Linked DNA regions of Arabidopsis thaliana. The protein of the gene in region 1 interacts with the protein of each later gene in a biochemical or structural test. Each region holds a gene or a part of one and is shown on either strand. Other genes may lie near its edges.

Region 1 (8,381 bases):
ATCTCTCATTCATATGTAAGGAGTATATACACACATAAAAGCGTGGCAAGTCTAAATGTCAGTAAGAGGGGTGAAAAAAGCAACATCAAAAGTAGAGGGGTGAAAGTCAAAACAAAAAAGAACATAAGGGACACAGAAAAAGATAGAAAAGCGTGGCTTCTTCTATAATAATTCGGTCACGGGACAGTGAAAATCATGAACACCAGAAGCAGCCCATAGCCGTTGATTAAACTCTTCTTGCATCTCATCTGGAACAAACGGTGTTCTACAAAGTGGACACGTCTTCTGATCATGATCCATCCAACGGTCAAGACAGCTCCGGTGAAATATATGTCTGCAATTTCTCAGCCACCGGATCTCTTGTTCTCCTTCGAATTCGTATAGACAAACGGCGCAGTTTTCCGGTAGATCTTCGCCGGAATTCGTTAACTCTTCGAATTTGATAACCGGTAGGATCTCTCTAATTAGGAGTGCGGAGAAAGGTGAGCGGGTTTCGGGTATTCGGGTCGGGTACGATGTGTAATCGGGCCAGGTTTGATCCATTTCGAGAAAATCTGAGAGACCCAAGAAGCGGAAGATAGAGAAGACGATGGTTCTGATGAATCCGAGAATCGAAAGCGTTTGTACGAAAAGCTTCGGTAAGAAAACCTCTGTGTAACCTACGGGAAAGCCCATGGAGAAAGCTAGGGTTTTTAGAGAGATAATAATGAGTGAGCTCTGTTTTTTTTCCTTTTTTTGAAAAAGTTGATTTTTTTAATGTCATGAGGAGTTTGATTTATAGAAATCAAAGGAAGGAAGAAGATGAAGGAAGGAAGGAAGGTACAGGATTCGTCTAAACGACATCGTGTCGTGTAAGATTGATTTTGATAGAGTTAACTGACTGTGACGTTTGTTATGTGAACGTTCCAATGAGGTGAAAAAGAGTAGAAATGGGAAAAGATTGAAGTTGGACTGTGAGATTTGGTTCTGTCACCAACATTGTTGGATTTGGCTACGTGCGTCTCTACAGTATAACTTGGTTTTTTTTTTTTGGGAATAAAAGTATCTGCAAGTTGCACGACGATCAGCACACGTGGTACGTGCGGTTGATGTGGATTGAGGAATTAATTCGTCCTATTTTTTTATAAATGGAATTACGTTTTTTAATTTTAATTTTTGGGATTCGTTGAATGTTATTTAACACGTGAAATTTACACTAGGCAGTAGATAAATAGGGTTACGTTCTCGGTATTAGGACATTTTCATAAGAACAAACAAAAAATAGAGCACTAATTATCATTATTTTAAAAGACATTAGTATATGAAAATTTTATCAAGATCGTTAACTAATCTTGTAGTAAAGTAAGATCAAATGGCTGAGCTTCATTCCGTAAATCACACGTCAAAGAGGTCTCATGCGTTGTCTCTATTAGCATTTATACTGGTTATAGGAAAACAACAAATGTATTTGAAAAGTATAAAATTCTTTTGTAATTACATATGATAAGCTAAGTAGCTAACTACTGTATTAGGTTCTTTTCTTTATTTAACAAGTTTAGATATTTGTTTTGTGATTCTATGTTGGCATCAGTGGAGGTGTATATATCAAATAATGCGAGGGATCACCTAAAATATTACTATTTCTATAAACCAGTTCATTGCTTTTGTCTTTCTTTTTTTTTTTTGGTAAGCTGCTTTTGTCTTTCTTATATATATAGGAAACTATGCTCTAATTTGCACTACGGTTTGGATTAGTTTCTTATTTTGACTACAGTAATATAGTTAGGATTGCTTCTAGTTTTGAAAAAGATGATAATATGTTTTGAGATCGGTACAATGTTTAATTGAAATATATATATTTGATGATCAAATTAAAGGCATATTAGGTTGAGTAAAAACATTACAAAAGCAAAAGTTCAAAAAAAAAAAATGAAGAAAGCAAAGAGAAACGAGAGAAGGGTGTGTGTGGGTCAAGGAGGCTTTAAAGAGATGATTAATAAAGAAGAGGAATCAACCTTATCTATACCCCTCACCCTCAATTTCGAAAATGATAGATTATATATATACATAATTAATAATTATATAAAAGTAGAAAAAAGTCTATTGTTTAACTGAGTGGTGGACCGGAGAGAGGTATAGGAGACAAGTCGTCGGTGGCAATGATCCTTCCACCAACCGGCAATGGTTCATGGCTCAACTATGATCGGAGAAATGTCGTTTTTGCAATGAACATATATGTTTTGTTATCTATAATCGTATTTTAAAATCAAGTGGTCGTATATATATACTCTAATACTTATAGTCATGTGGAAATTTTTTCATAAGATGTACAACTTACTTACGATGATATATTCAAACTTAGTAGGAATTTATTTGGTTCTATAGCCTATATATAGTTGACTCACTCAAAAATAACCAGAGATAAATAATAAAATTGATGTTTTTTGGTAATATTTATGAAGTATGGGCCTTATTTATAATCACACGCTGAATTCTGAAACCTTATAATTAGAAAACGCATTCAAAAAAAAAAAAAAATAACAATAAGAAAATCTATATAGCCTAGTAGAACGGTCACAAAAACCCACAAAAGTATCAAAAACTCGTAAACCATCAACGTTTGAGCTCATTTTGTTGTTATAGTCAAAATCATTCAAAGTTATTTTGACAAGACGTATTGGTACCATAATAACGCATTAATACACCTATACATTTATAAATTATTTTATTAGTTATACACGATGGTAGTACAAGAATACATGTATTGTAGTAGAATTTTGTAATCAATTAATGTCACAAAATTCAAACCAAACTTCAATGAGAAAATTCATGATGCTCAACTAGTCAATGTGTATGTTATACGACAAAAAAACATGCAATTTGTCAATTACCATCGATCCAAAAAAAAAAACCCTCTAAAACGATAAGAGGAACGAAATAAGTATGGAGAATGGTGTGTTGATTTGGAAATGTTATAATGAGGCCGAGACAGCCACATGGCCCTATTGCTTGTATGCATATCATCTCATCTCCTACCTCTCCCACACTTCTCTTTGTCATGTCACTGTTTAATTTTTGAATACTCGCACCATCTCGTTCTCTGGTCCCATGATGCATCGATACGAATATACTTGATTGACTGTTTCTTGTTTGTTTCATAACTATATACCCTACTTTAAACCCTATTTGATCCAATATTGATCTTAGATTTAAGATGATGTTTCGGTGGAATATGAGGTTCAATCATTGCTTCATTTGTAATTAAATAAAATTTTAGATGATACTGAAAAAGTCACGACAATACAGATTTTTTTATTACACTATAATTGTTTTTCAAATAAAAAGATTGGAGTTCATGTATTCAGTCTCTGTTAGGGTCTTAGGAACCTTTTGTTGTTGATATTATACGATAAAGATATAATTAGCTTATTCTCTATCTTTATGATTCCTATTCCTACTGATGTCTTTATGAATCTCATAATTTATAGGTCACATAAAACATGGCTAATCAGTGTTTTGCTAATCATAAGATTTTATAGATGTGATTCGCAATTTTGTTTCCTACAAAGCAGGGGTGGTTTTCTAGATAGAAAGAGATAAACGTATACAATCATTCGCTATAATAATATATGATCGATTAACAACGATGTTTATAGATATTTAATCATTTTGCTAGTGAGTATACAGTCTTAGATCTCGTCGTCTTGTCTTTCTCCTACACGTCACATGGTACCACTTCATGTTTCTTTTTGCTTGGTACCACTCCATGTTTTTATTATCAAATTGGATATAGAAAAATTGCAATTAATTTGTAGAAGGTACATAAATGAGGTCCCGCTCCGGCAAATGTTAAAGCCGTAGTTATTTTCTTGAAGGCCTAATGCTATCAGCTGAAGATTAAAAAAAGCCCAAAAACATATGGGCTTTGGTATTCTTTATAAGCCCAGTCACTTGGAATACTAGCTTATATTTTCTTTCTTTAAAACTCAGTTAATAGTTATGTTCAAATAGAGAGAAAATCTAAGATGTGGTGGGACGAAGTTGCCACGTGCCAATGAGTTGACCAATGAGGAAACTCAGTGCGTTATCCGTAGGGATAATCAGATAAGCAGAATCTGATTTTGTCACCAGAGTGCTTTTATAGATTACACAACACACGTTCGTTTCTTTCTTCTTCTAACACACTCTGAGTCTTGAAGGTCAACAACGTCGAGAATAATGGCATCATCTCTTTGTGCTTCTTCTGCCATCGCTGCCATTTCTTCTCCAAGGTAAGCTCATCTTTTTCTCTCTTCTTATCAGTTATCATCACTTGCTATGTAGGAATGAGACTAAGATCCTTGTACAGTTGTACTTAATTAGTTTCGTTAACATGACTATGATAGTGATCCATTGATTGGGATTTATGATCTAGTATCCGAGAATGTGTGTGCGGTTGTAAAATTAGTGATCCATCATCCATTTAGATTAAACGTTGTGCGACTATTGTTTGTGTGATCCAAACACCGATCTGCCCTATGTAATAATATGAATTTATGCATGGTTGGTGTTATTGAAGTTGTGACTAAATTTTTAGGGCTATGATATATGTGCAGTTTCTTGGGTGGTAAGAAACTGAGGCTGAAGAAGAAGTTGACTGTTCCAGCTGTGTCCAGGCCAGATGCGTCGGTGCGCGCCGTCGCAGCTGATCCAGATAGACCAATCTGGTTCCCGGGAAGCACTCCTCCAGAGTGGCTAGACGGTAGCCTCCCTGGTGACTTCGGATTTGATCCTCTTGGTCTTTGTGAGTATATTTTTTTTGTTCCTCCTTGCATGCTTTTTAACAAGTTTTATAAACAAAATTAGACTATATTTATAATTTTCTGACAAAATTTAGACACATGTCAGCATCGGACCCGGACAGTCTAAAATGGAACGTACAAGCCGAGATAGTCCACTGCCGATGGGCTATGCTAGGAGCCGCCGGGATATTCATCCCAGAGTTCCTAACGAAGATCGGAATCCTCAACACTCCGTCATGGTACACGGCGGGAGAGCAAGAGTATTTCACGGACAAAACCACACTCTTTGTCGTTGAGCTCATTTTGATCGGATGGGCAGAAGGACGTAGATGGGCCGATATCATCAAGCCCGGTAGCGTCAACACTGACCCAGTCTTCCCAAACAACAAACTGACGGGCACAGACGTTGGTTACCCAGGTGGGTTATGGTTCGACCCGTTGGGTTGGGGATCCGGTAGCCCGGCTAAGCTCAAGGAGTTGAGGACCAAGGAGATCAAGAACGGAAGGTTGGCTATGTTGGCAGTGATGGGTGCTTGGTTCCAACACATCTACACTGGCACTGGTCCTATTGATAACCTTTTTGCACATCTTGCTGATCCTGGTCACGCCACAATCTTCGCTGTAAGTGTGATCCAAATCAAAACATATCTTTACTAAATGTTCATAACGTCGACACGTTTAATTGACTAGCTTTTGTGTGTGTGTTTTTTTTACAGGCTTTCACACCCAAGTGAGACAACGAAAAAGGGTTATGGGGAGGTGAATGCGTTTGTGTGTGATCATGTTTGTACAAATATCATTTTGAACTTAAAATTATTATGTACTTTATATAAATTGTGGTCGAATGCAAATTAAGGTTCCCCGTAACACTCTTTTCCTAACTCAATGATCATAAGATGCTTTTACATTGTCATTCGGAGCATAAAAGAGTCCATCTTAATTGTTTTTCGTTATTGTTGATATCTAAGCTTATGTTCTTCTTCTATCTCTCTCTCTTACCTTTCTCTCTTTCCGAATATCTCTTTCTCACCTTTCTCTCTCTCTCTTGCTTACCTTTTTCTAAATCTCTCTTTCTCACCTATCTTCTTTTCTCTCTCTCTCAATATAACATGACAAATTTAAATATTGAAAATCAACTGAAAATTTGTTATTGTCTAATGCATATTCACTAAAGTTAAATCTAAGATAGTAGTTATACGTTAATTATGAACATGATTTAGCAATTATACAACTTCCAAATAGATAAGGTGGAAAAAAGTGAACACATGAGTAAATTGAAGTTTAACTTGTAAATATTTTGTACAGAGAAAGAACCTCTATCAATTAACACTCGATAAATTAGTAATCACTATAAATTACTTATTTTTTCAGTCTCGAGTTAGATCAATGTAATATTTAACATCATTTGATAAAATAATAACTTGTTTGAAAATCTAATGTAACTAAATAGTCTAGTAATATCGTAAATTAATAATCATTATCATAAATTAATATAAACTTATCAAACATCAAAATTCCGATTACAAAAAGAATAAAAGTTTAGTTATGTTATTAATTATTAAAAATTTAGACGAAGGTATACTAGTTTTGTAATCCCATTATTAATAGTCTATAGAATGGTAACGGGCTAACGGCGATGGTGATAAACGGAAGAGAAGAGAGAGAGCTAGGGTTGGAGAAAGAGACAAAAGAGAGGGACTACGGAATGCAGAGGAAAGCTTCGGCGGTGTTCATAGGGTCGTAGAAAGGAGAAAAAAAACAGAGAGAAACGACGGAAGGCAGAGGAAAGCTTCGGCGGTGCTCATAAGAAACCCATGGAGAAGTCTAGAGTCGGAGATGTTGTCGGAGAAAGGAGAAAAAAACAGAGAGAGAAGACGGAATGCAGAGGAAAGCTTCGGCGGTGCTCAGCTCATAAGAACCATGGAGAAATCTAGCGTCGGAGAGAAATACAAACACACAACAGAGAGAGAGAGAAAGAGAGAGCTTACATTGTGAGATCAGAGCGAGAGCTTCCATCCAGAGAGAGAGAGTGAGAGCTTATATAGATGGTTTTCCGAATATATAGTGTGTGAGAACGAAGAACCATCTTTTGTTTTTTTGTTTTTTTCTTAAGTACTTTTATATAAAAACACGAGAGAGAGAGAGAGAGCACGGAGAAGAGGGAGAGAGACAGAGAAAGCAATGGTAATGATCGGAATATGGTGCACGGCGGTGATGATCGGGAAATGGTGCACGGAGGAGAGAGAGAGAGCTAAAAAAAACTTACATAGTAGTACATGAAATTTAATTGTTTATTTTTTGGGGTTTCTATGAAATCGTAGAAATATTATTTTATTAAATATGAAACTTACAATAAATATTATTTTCTTTAACCTAGAGAAATAGTAGAGATACAAGTGGATATTGGATATAAATACCTCTTTATCAAAGACATTTTATACAACACACATATCAATATTAATAATACAACGGTTGATTAAAGTCAAAAACAAAAAATCCCAACCCAAATTTTTTTAAGTTCACATATGTGTAGTTTGTTTAGCGTTTCAGAATTCTTTTCAAACCAAGTAATCCGACTTTATTTTTAACTGACTCGTTTTTTTAATTATGTTTTGGTGTCAAAACTAATCAACCCATGGAAAGTATCAACCCACATATGTGGTTTAGCTTTTTCATAAATATACATTTTAATCATTTCTTGTTTAGTTAGTGACAAGACATGTTACTTGTTTGATGACAAATATTTGTATCTCCAATTTCTAAATCTTTTAGCCAAATGAAATTATATATTTGACCAAAAAAATAAAACTAAGAAAAGTGAAAGAGTATGGGGGCATCAGAATCTCTGTCATGTGAGTACTATTTTTTGAACAAGCTAAGTAACGTCTTGTATCTATTTGATTTTTTTTTAGTATCATATAGCACGAGTGTCTTAATGAAATCGTTATTAGCTTCAATAATACTAAATAAAATGTTTACTTTCACAATATGTAACCGATTAAATTCGTAAATATTTTGTACGAAGAAAGGATCTCACTCGATAAATTAGTAATTACTATAAATTAATTATTTTTTTAATCTCGAGTGAGATCAATGTAGTATTTAACATAATTTAATAAAATAATAATTTGGTTGGAAATATAATGTAATTATATAGTCTAGTAATATTATAAATTAATAATCATTATCATAAATTAATATAAACTTATCAAACATCGGAAATTCAGATTAAAAAAGAACAAAAGTTTAGTTGTATTATTAATTATTAAAAATTTAGACGAAGGTATACTAGTTTTGTAATTCTATTATTATTACTCTATAGAATTAAATTAATAGTCTATAGAATGGTTTGAGTAAACCGAGAAATGAGAGAGAGTTCTCCTTGAACCAAGGATAATCAATAATTGATTCCCGGTTTATTCGTAAAATTAGATTCGTATCACCGAAACCAATTATATTCGCAAAATTAAAATCCGATCAACATAAACCGGTCGGGCAATTCCAATTTTGATGCTCCGTTTATTGAGCGTTTATTGATCTGCGACTGCGAGATCCATCTTCTTCTTCTTCTCCTTCTTCTTCTTCCAACGAATGTTCCTATGATCTCTGTGTATGAACAGA
Region 2 (10,648 bases), on another chromosome or scaffold:
TGTGTCTGAGTGGAAAAAGTATCTGGAATATGAGGCTGATGTAATGAAAGATGTTCCGGGATGGAAAGTTGGCGAGAATGTGTACAATTCTGGTCGCTGGATGCCTCCGGCTACTGGGGAACTCCGTCCTGATGTGTGGTGATTTCCTAGTTTCTCTCAAATGCATATGATGATGATGAATGATGTTTCGCTGAGGATTGATATGTTCTTGTTATATCTTTTTTTCTTCGGGTAATAAGAGAATGATTCAACAGACAGTATTCTTCTTGTATTGGTTTTCTCTTAAGTGTTTCAATCGTAATATGAGGCAAAAACAGTTTCATGATTCATCAGCAAGCTGCAAGAAATTGGCTTATTTGACAGCTCCAGGTGAAAAATATTCGAAAAAGCTTACCGAGTGAAATCGAACCAAATCATATATAATTATATGTGAATTTAATATCCAAAACAATAAAATTTTGAAAACAAGAGTTCTTGAAAATGAAAAAAAGAGTAAAACCTTTTCAGAAAATAAATAAAATTAAATGCTAAATATAGTACATGAAAATGAGAAAAATATGTTAGATTTGTGAAATCGTTAATGACCATGGTTAAATGGCGGGATCCAAAATCCGGTTAGATTTCACAACGTCATATTAATTTAGTATTTATAAAATCTTTTAAAAAAAAGAAAAAGGAAAAAAAAAGAGAGTTGAAAACATTTTTAAAAAAATAAAATAAAAATAATTAAATGCTAAATATACATGAAGATGTGAAAAACATGTTGGATTTGTGGAATCGCTAATGACCACGGTTAAATGGCGGGATCCAAAATCTGGTTAGATTTCACAACGTTATATTAATTTAGTATTTATTAAAACTTTTAAAAAAATCAAAAAAAATTTGAAAAACTTTTAAGAAAAGAAAACAAAAAATAAATGCTAAATATACATGAAGATGTGAAAAATATGTTGGATTTATGGAATCGCTAATGACCACGGTTAAATGGCGGGATCAAAAATCCGGTTAGATTTCACAACGTCATATTAATTTAGTATTTATAAAAAACCTTTAAAAAATTATTTATTTAAATGTTTTAGTGAAAGTTTTAGTTTTGGTTAAAATAATTTTTAAAGAAAAGAAGAAAAAAAGTTAGAATGAAGAAAGTCCTAGTGTAACGAAGGCCTCATACAGCAAAGCCCATTCCAAAGTCCTAGTGTAGCTCTGTCGTAACATTATCCACCAATTTTAGGTCAATTTTGTAAAACTAAACTACAAGATCATTCCATGGGAAGCTTCTCTCCGATATGCAAGACAAGACGCCAAAGAATGGCAAGATGCAGAAGAGTACACCCACCGTTTATCATCAAAACCTGACAGAGTAACGTCACAAGAACCAACAGCTAATCTCTGGACAACACCCCCTATTGGTTGGACGAAATGCAACTATGACGGCACTTACCACAGCAACGCTCCGAGTAAAGCGGGTTGGCTCTTACGGGATGATCGAGGAACCTTTCTAGGTGCAGCTCATGCTATAGGCTCTATTACTACCAATCCGATGGAAAGTGAACTCCAAGCTTTAGTCATGGCCATGCAACATTGTTGGAGTAGGGGCTATAGGAAAATTTACTTTGAAGGTGACAATAAAGAAGTCTCAGAGATTGTCAATGGTCGGTCTTCAAATTTTGCAGTTTTTAATTGGATAAGAGATATAAGCGCTTGGAGATCAAAATTTGAAGAATGCAAGTTTACTTGGACAAGGCGATTTTCAAACATGGCTGCAGATGCTCTGGCAAAACAACAACTTCCTTTGAACACTCAGTTTTATTGCTATAACTATATCCCGTTTGTAATAACTGATTTTTTACATCGCGACTTTGCTACAGCAAATTATTAATAAAGCTGATGTTTGAGGAAAAAAAAAAAAACTACAAGATCAAACCCTAGTTCCTCCGATGAAATTGCGGTTAGAAAACTAAATATTGATTGACCTAATTCAAAGAGACCTTTTTTGTGCAGAAACTAAATATTAAAAATCCAAGGTTCCAAGAGATCAAATAGGAATTTAAGCGAGAAGCAACATACCTGAGTCTCGTGACAACGGCGCGTGGTTTGCGTCAATACTTGGGACTCTCGGTGAGATCCGCCATGATTTGCTAGAGAGATCGTGAAACGCAAGAAAACAGAGAGACAAACGGTGGCGAGATCATTGATGGTGTGATCACCGAGTTACAGTTCCGACGGTTCTGACGGTGGTGAAAATGGATGGTGATCATCGAGCTTTGACGTTCTCGTGATCGGTGAGTTCTTTTTGTAAGAGAGGAACAGAAACAAACAGAGGCTAAAAAGACAAAAGAAGAAGAAGAAGGTGGATTTTTTGTTTTCTTCTCGTAATCCATGCTTTGGACCTTGTATCAGCCACTTATGATCATTTGCTATATTGATGCTTTCCAATTTTAGAGTATTGAAATGGGTTTCTTTGACAATCATTTTGAGTTAGTCATCATTCCTTGTTCTGAATCAAGAATTGGCTTTTGTTATGTTGTCTAGGTTCTGCTTGTAACTAGAGTAATGCTATTGTAGTCTCTGTTGTTTATTTGTAGAATCATAGAGAGTCGTGGAAGCATGTTTTAGTTGTTACTCTCGATTTCTTGTCGATGTTGTGGTGTTATAAATTGAGCGTTTTAACCAATACAAGTTAGGAGATGGTTAGTATGTGACTATGTGTTAGTGGCCATGTATGTAGTTCGATCAGATAATCTGAATGATGTGCTAAAGAGCTTGCATAGGAAGACTGCCTTTGTGTTAGCTTGCATAGAGACTTGTTGCAATATATGAGACTGAAAACTATTATGTGAAAACTTTAATTTGTGTACAAATATTTTTAACTCTTAAAATTAAACTAACATTGTACCAATTAGCACATGAAAGAAACACAGAATTCTGTGAACATATGATGAATAACTATATAAACACATTATGGATTCAGTTAAGGAGACAGAAACAAGAAGATGAATTTCAGATATATAGCAATAGAGTCACTTATAATCATATCAGAGCTTATACTTTATACAAATTATCACTTTAGTCCTTAAATTAAAACCGATTTAATCGACAATCTTGTTATTCTTTAAAACAATTTGTTCTTATTTTCAATCTTTAAATTTTGCAACAATCGACAGAACTTATCGTTATTCCGTGTTTTTATTTTCATATCTTTCTTAAAATGTTTCAAAATAATATATGTTTAATATTTTCTGATTTACAATAGTTATTAAGTTATATGAAATATAATTATTTTAAATTTTATTTTATTTTTCAGAAAACTCTTATAAGAGAGCTTACCATTAGAATATGAAAAAAAATTAAAACTCTCTTATAACTTTTTAAAAATTTTAATAATAAAAAAATGGAGAAAGCCCGTGAAAGAGCTCTTACGAACCAAAACCATTCAGTCCGGTTAAGAATTGGTTATCAAGTTTGGTTCCTAAAAGATATCCAAGTTCAAAAGCAAAAAAATATCTTCTTTTCTCTCTCTCTACTCTCTTCTCTTCTTCTCTTCTTCTCTTCTTCTCTGGCTGGGCAACCATGATTACTGTCGTCACCTCCAGGCTCTCTCTCCTTCCTCCAGTCTTCTCCGTCGTTAACTCTTCTTCTTCGCGTTCCAAAGGTGCTCAATTTATTTCTGCCACGTCTTCTCTTTATAGCACTCTGTTTTACACACGTCGTTGATTCTTCAGTTTTTTAAAAGACCCGTCTTATACAAAATTTCAGTGTAACCGATCCCTGAAATTCGTTAAAGGGATGAAATTTTATCTAAGATTCGGAGTTTTCTTTTCGAACATAGTGGTAATGTTTGTCGAATGCTTGATTTGGTCTTCCACAGCTGTCACTATCGAGTTTGAAGATAGAAATCTTGTGTTAACTTAGTATGTATTACTGCATAATGTCAATTCTGTTTGAAAGCATCAGAATTTCGGAACAGATTTTTGTTTCGTATAGCATCGATCTTTGTCTTGTGTGTTTTTATCTTCTCTCTGAAGCCTGCATGAACCCTTCTCTTATGGCTTTAATTGCAGATATGAATCTAGAGCCAAAAAAGAAGGTTAAATTAAGAGAAGACTGGAGAGAAAAGTCCAGACCTATCCCACCCGGAGGAACCTATCCAGCTAAAGACCATTGCAGGTTTTTTCTTTCTTTTTTGTTTGTTTGTTTGTTTACCTCACTATTTTTGTCTCATTCTTATCAAGATCCTTGGTGTTCTGATGGGTTTGCAGTCAGTGCGGGCTATGCGACACCTACTACATTGCCCATGTGAAGGAGGCATGTGCATTTCTTGGAGATGGAATGTCAAGGATTGAGGTAATGTCCATATAAATGGATAAGATTTGATACTCTTTTTAATTGATGGGCTAAGATTCTTATTTTGTTAATATTTTAAGTTCTTGTGCAGAGCTTGGAACCTGTTGTGCATGGTAGAGGAAGGAAAGCAGATTCCTTACAAGATACATATTTTGGGGTGCATCAAGAGCAGCTCTATGCTCGTAAGTTGAAGCCTGTCGAAGGTAAATAGACACTTCCCTTCCACTGTTCCACATTTTCTACTAACTTCTTTTCCTGGCTCAATCTAAGCTAGGGCACTTTTGTGTCTCGTTCAAGATGAATTTAGCTTAGCTTTGTTGTTTACTTTTCATTCTATTTTCGGTTGCAGGAGCTCAGTGGACTGGAATTGTCACAACCATAGCCATTGAGATGCTGAAATCTAATATGGTTGAAGCTGTCGTTTGTGTGCAGAGGTAAAACTACTGTTGAATTTCAGAAATGGACTAGGCTTACATTTATCGACCATGCTGTAGATTTTTCCATCTATCCATGTAACTGATTTATTGAAATATTACAGTGATCCTGAAGACAGATTATCTCCAAGACCAGTATTAGCCAGGTTTTCCACCTTCCTAATGTGGTTTATTTTGAGTCCATTCTTCTTCAAGTCGCCATTTTTTAGATGTGGATCCATATTTTGCTGTTACTCTGGATATAGAAGCGTATTGATGTTTCATTTCTTTTCATTCTAAGGACACCTGAAGAAGTTTTGGCTGCAAGAGGTGTCAAGCCAACTCTGTCTCCTAATCTGAATACTCTTGAATTAATCGAGGTTATTTGCCAAACCCTTATTTCTTGTTTGTGTTTTCAATCACTGAATCCATTTCACATGAACTTAGAATTTGTATTGTAACAGGCTTCCGGAGTGAAGCGTCTTCTGTTTTGCGGTGTGGGTTGCCAAGTGCAAGGTATGGGCTCAACATACTTTTTTGTGGACGTATATTTCAAGTTTCTCCATATCGTGACTCTCATAGTATTGTAATGCAGAGTGATTTCTTATACTGCAGCATTGAGATCAGTGGAGCAGCATCTGAATCTGGAAAAGTTGTATGTACTAGGCACCAATTGTGGTATTTTCCTCATCCTATCTAGATTTGTTTTTTCTCCAGAACTTTCACAACTAGTTCTTGTGTTGTACTTTTGAACATTCCATGTTGTATATGTTATTTCGGAGTCTTGTATGCTTAGGTCTAGAAATGCTTATACATTTTTAAACAAGTAAAAAGAACATCTTTGATTAATAGTGGACAACGGAACACGAGATGGACTAGACAAGTTTCTGAAAGCAGCTAGTAAAGAGCCAGAGACTGTTCTCCATTATGAATTTATGCAAGATTACAAGGTTAGCATTAATACAAAACCATCACTTATCTGTGCATTTTCTTTGGTGATGCCAATCTTGTTCAATTTCTCTTATAGGTCCAACTCAAACACTTGGATGGACACATTGAAGAGGTAAATTCGCTTAAAATACTGTGTTGCTCTGCAATTGCAGCTGAAAGCCGTTTTTAAAAAACTTTTTTTGGCTAAAGCAGGTTCCCTATTTCTCTCTACCTGCAAACGATTTAGTAGATGTCATAGCTCCATCGTGTTACAGGTAATACAAGTCTCTGCATTGTCTCTATACCTTGAAATAGATAACCTGTCGGAAATTTTTAAAACTTGTCTACAATTACAAACCCTATCTTTTTTATTCTGCAGCTGCTTTGATTACACAAATGCATTAGCGGTGAGTGTTTCTCTAGCAATTAAGATGTCTTTTCACTTAATTTTGATTCTGCCAATTTCAAACATTTCCTGATATGTATGAGCTTGTTTATCTAGGATTTGGTTATCGGTTACATGGGTGTTCCGAAGTATTCAGGTCTGAACATGACTGACCATCCACAGTATATTACAGTGAGGTCAATATTTCTACGTATTTTGACATGGACCATATAGGTTCTCGTGGTTGGATAAAATTAGTTTTGTTTATGCCTTAAACCACAGAAATGAACGTGGGAAAGAAATGCTCAGCTTGGTAGAAAACCTTTTGGAGATCACTCCAACAATCAGCAGCGTAAAGTTTCTAACATTTATATTTGTTGTTATATTTAAGACTTTAAGAGTCCACTTAACAAATAACATGAACAAACACACCTTTTGTTGTTGTTTCAGGGTGATCGGCGACCTTTTGTGACAGAAACTGTTAAGGCAGACGATGCTGCTAAGTTTGGTATGTTTTCAAACGTATTCGAAACTCTTTTGTTTCTTGAATCGTCTCTGCTTAAAGACATTCAGTTTCAAGCAAAGCTAGATGCCAAAAAGAAAGTTCTCAGCAAATGCATGCAACTAACATTGTGCTAAAGTCTTCTAACTAGTCTATAATTTCTTAGGTCAAGGTCCTGCTCAGCCAGCGCCACTATTTGTTGGAAACATTATTGCGTTCATCCTAAATTTGGTAAGATTATTTCCTTATGAACACAAACCGAGAAACAAGCTCATTGCATAAAAAGTCAAAGAGTTTCTTAACTTGCAAAACCATTCTTGCTTCAGGTTGGTCCTAAGGGTCTAGAATTTGCTCGGTACTCGTTGGACTACCATACCATCAGAAACTATTTGTACGTAAACCGCAAATGGGGAAAGCAAAGGTAAGATCTGAAACACACTCCTAGAGATAAAAGTTTATTGCGATCAACTGTGTATTTCTATACTATTGGATCGTTCTCTAATGACCAAAGCTGCATTACCATCTACAGAGCAAACACCCACATGCCATCATATGCCAAAAAGATAGTGGAAATGTACAACAAAAACGGCCAAATAGATAAAATGCTCTCCAAGAAATGAACATTTTAGGCCTTTCTCATGTAAGTTTCCAAATGTATATTTCATCCTACAAGTGAGTAAATGTACATTGGTCCTACTGTTTCTCAACTTGTAGTATGTTAGTAATATCCAAAACTATTTCCCTCGTGAATTTGGTAAGACACCGGCAAGAAAAGATGGGTCGGTTTGGTGTTTTTTGGCAGAGAACAGAGAATAAGAAACAGTCTAAATCAGCGGCTGAATCCAAATCAACCCATGTGGGTTCCTTCCTCCATATCTTTAGGTTAAGGTGATGTCCGAGTAAAAGGTTGCAGGGTTTTGCATGAGAACATGAATAACTGTTTTAAGAGGATGGGAACCAGACATTTACACAGTTGGGGGGAATTAGCTTTTAATGTCTTTTTTTTGCTTGGACAAAGAAGAAGGAACCATGGTTAAGCTTCACTCGCTCGCTCACTCACTCACTCACTCACTAACTTACTCATCACCATATTTCACACATTGGAAACTTCAAATTTTACTCTCTCTCTTTTTTTCTTTTTTTGTCTTTTTGTTAGTCAAGTCTCTGCTCTGCTCGTTCAATGACTTTGCTGCAGAGACTCTCAGACCTCAAGTGAAACTCATAAATGTCTCTGCTCTTTTGCACCATAGTTGATTTTTTCTCACCAGAGGCATTGTCCTAATACAGAGCATGTAAACGTTTTTTCTAATAATATATTTAAGTGAAATAAAGCTTACTTTGGTACCTTGAATTAATTTTGAGTTGCAATTTGACATATAACAATGTTAGAGAATTCATTTACGTATTGCATATTTTGGATCTGTATCTGTATCTGTTTCAGTATATATATATTTATAACTAGATCCAACATCATATATAATATATGATTTCACTCAAGTTTTTCTGAGAAAGTTGTATAATGTTATATTTATTATCCATCTGTGTTTCAAATTAGATACATTGTTCATCCCTAATGGATTTTGCATATCCTACAGAAATGCATGTTTCAGTATTTTCAACTTGTGTTCCCTGGAGGTTGTAATCCATGAAACAACTTTAATATGGACTGTCCAAGACAATCATGTGTAAATCAATCATTTGCCAAATATAATGATTACAAAATGGCTAATAATTCCTTAATCAGTTAAATAACAGCTCTAACTTGTGAGAGTATTCTTCCAATAATGAAACAGCATGAAATTAGTTGTTTCTTTTCCTGATCAACAACATCATCATAGAGATAACACAACATGCATCGTTGAGAAAAGAATTACAAAACCGTAAAATATATTTGTCATATTAGATTAAGCAAAACTTCTTACAAGAGTTCAAAATCTAAAATGAAGATTTAAAAAAAATACAACAACAAAATAAAGCACTCTTAAAATAAAAATACATAAAAAAGCCACATCTTCCTAAAAAAACAAAGAAAAATCCCCCTATTATTTTTTTCTTTTCACAATTCTCTTTTTTTTGGGGGTATTTTCTTCCGAGGAGAGGGCTTAATTATCTTCTTCTTTTTTTGAATATTTTTTTCCCTAAATTTGATAATGATGATTAGAAATGTGAAATACAACGACGATGACGAGCAGCAGCAGTTTTCTTCTGTTGCTTAGACTCTTCTTTCCACCTATTAGCAATATCATGAGCCACACTCATAGCATCAAGCGACGCACCAAACAATCCTTTTCTCGTGAACCCTACCGCATACAATCCCGCCTCTCCTTTCCATCCGTTTGGAAACGGGTTTTTTGGTATCCCATCATCGGAGAAGAAGTCGTTGTCCTGTTAATACAATTAAAATTCAACACACCAAATTAGTACACATACGAATTTATTGACCTAATTCTTAGTCCTAACTGTCATTACCGGATTTCTATTTCTAACCAAAAACTAGTACCACGTTTTTGTATCCTTTTCGATGAAAATATAAATGTTAATGGTTCATTTGCATTTATTGCTCACATTCGAAACACAATTTGAGTAGGGTTTTCACTAAACTAGGACCGGGTCGGGTGGTTTTTTTTGTGTGTTTTGTCTTCCGACATCATTAAATGTCTAAAATTTAAGCTAAACCTTGAGAAGAAACAATGAATGAAAGATGTTTTATTTATTACCTTAAGCCATGAAGGGACGTTGCTTCTGTATCCAGTAGCTAGAATAACGGAATCAATCTCAAGAACACGGCCATCTATTAGCTCAACTTTGCCTTTGCCGAACTTTATGATTCCGGGGACGATTTTGATCTTTCCCGATCTGATTTTGGGTAACGCTCCGATGTCAAGAACCGGAGTTTTGCCTTCCTTGTTCTTTAGCTCTAACGGTCCAATTTTCGGCCTTTTTAGACCGTATTTATCGGTATTCCCCAAGATAATCCTCGCCAGAAAGAGTATAGTCTTGTCCGCGAGCCAAACGGGCATATACTTCATCATCGTAACTCCTAATTCAAACGTTGATTTCCCAAAAATCTCTCTTGGTAAAACATGAACCTGATAAAATCAAGAAAGGAAAAAAAAACACAGACTATTAGATACTGCTCTGTTTTAGAAAACAGAGTAACAGAAACAGAGGATGCTCTGTTTTAGGGGCTATAAAGATTTGAACTTTTGGTACTTTTTTTTTTTTTTTGGTTTAAGACTTTTGGTACTTACAGCGCTACGAACGACCATCGATGGGTTTGCTCCGTGATTGTAGAGATCGAGAGAGACTTCCATACCGGAGTTTCCACATCCCACCACCAAAACCTTTTTCCCTTGGTACCTTCCACCGGATTTATAGTCACCAGCATGGAGAACATCGCCGCCAAAATCCTCTAGACCTTCAAAATCCGGCACAACTTTCTCAGCGTTCTCTCCCGTTGCCACCACAATCCATCTGCATATATACTCAAACTCGCAAGAACCGAGCTGACCCATGTTTGAAATGGTCTTAACCCGCCACAGCCCGAACGTCTCATCATATTTAGCGGACTGGACTGTCTCGTTGAACTTAGGGTTGATGTCAAAGTTGGCTGCGTAGGACTCAAGGTACTGAATAAACTGAAACTTGGTAGGGTACTCAGGGAACTCGTCCGGGAAAGGATAATTGGGTAATTGGCAAAACTGTTTAGGTAGATGGAGTTTGAGACGATCGTAGGTTCTGTTTTGCCATAATGAAGCAATGCAGTTAGCTCGCTCGAGGATTATGAATGGTACCCCTTCACGTTTCAAGCCCGCAGCAACGGCTAGACCTGATGGGCCAGCTCCGACGATGACGGGTCCATTGACCCAGATGCAACGCCGGGAGAAAATGTCGCTGCCTTCGGGGATGAGGTTTTGAAACATACTCGTGATGTTGATAGACTTCTTGTTATTATTTCCATACATCTTCCACAGAGTTTAGAGTTTGCTTGTCTGGTTGTGAGGAGAAAACAGAAGAAATTTTAAGAATGTAGAAGAAGAAAAAAGAAAGATTTTGGAAACTTTTTAAGACAAG

What was found.
Region 2: the proteins of LHCA2 (region 1) and HCAR form a complex in vitro, tested with the Arabidopsis thaliana proteins (one study listed by BioGRID).

The regions. Positions count from the first base shown.
Region 1 is NC_003074.8:22,741,539-22,749,919, forward strand, and holds LHCA2 (photosystem I light harvesting complex protein), read left to right. Parts: upstream 1-3,975; 5' UTR 3,976-4,197; coding exon 4,198-4,250; intron 4,251-4,574; coding exon 4,575-4,762; intron 4,763-4,866; coding exon 4,867-5,381; intron 5,382-5,476; coding exon 5,477-5,494; 3' UTR 5,495-5,906; downstream 5,907-8,381. Other genes in the region: BRH1 (brassinosteroid-responsive RING-H2), read right to left, coding at 163-675. UniProt on the Arabidopsis thaliana protein: The light-harvesting complex (LHC) functions as a light receptor, it captures and delivers excitation energy to photosystems with which it is closely associated, here photosystem I.
Region 2 is NC_003070.9:1,279,415-1,290,062, reverse strand, and holds HCAR (coenzyme F420 hydrogenase family / dehydrogenase, beta subunit family), read left to right. Parts: upstream 1-3,443; 5' UTR 3,444-3,570; coding exon 3,571-3,652; intron 3,653-4,061; coding exon 4,062-4,167; intron 4,168-4,259; coding exon 4,260-4,344; intron 4,345-4,435; coding exon 4,436-4,547; intron 4,548-4,693; coding exon 4,694-4,778; intron 4,779-4,882; coding exon 4,883-4,924; intron 4,925-5,058; coding exon 5,059-5,137; intron 5,138-5,221; coding exon 5,222-5,273; intron 5,274-5,372; coding exon 5,373-5,435; intron 5,436-5,609; coding exon 5,610-5,707; intron 5,708-5,784; coding exon 5,785-5,820; intron 5,821-5,900; coding exon 5,901-5,962; intron 5,963-6,066; coding exon 6,067-6,094; intron 6,095-6,189; coding exon 6,190-6,269; intron 6,270-6,354; coding exon 6,355-6,424; intron 6,425-6,522; coding exon 6,523-6,580; intron 6,581-6,740; coding exon 6,741-6,805; intron 6,806-6,900; coding exon 6,901-6,995; intron 6,996-7,103; coding exon 7,104-7,194; 3' UTR 7,195-7,900; and 1 more. Other genes in the region: MEE4 (GRIM-19 protein), read left to right, coding at 1-142; AT1G04625 (Polynucleotidyl transferase, ribonuclease H-like superfamily protein), read left to right, coding at 243-369, 1,275-1,831, 2,143-2,232; YUC3 (YUCCA 3), read right to left, coding at 8,732-8,959, 9,292-9,663, 9,826-10,539. UniProt on the Arabidopsis thaliana protein: Probable iron-sulfur flavoprotein that converts 7-hydroxymethyl chlorophyll a to chlorophyll a using ferredoxin as a reducing equivalent. Catalyzes the reduction of a hydroxymethyl group to a methyl group. Belongs to the chlorophyll catabolic enzymes (CCEs).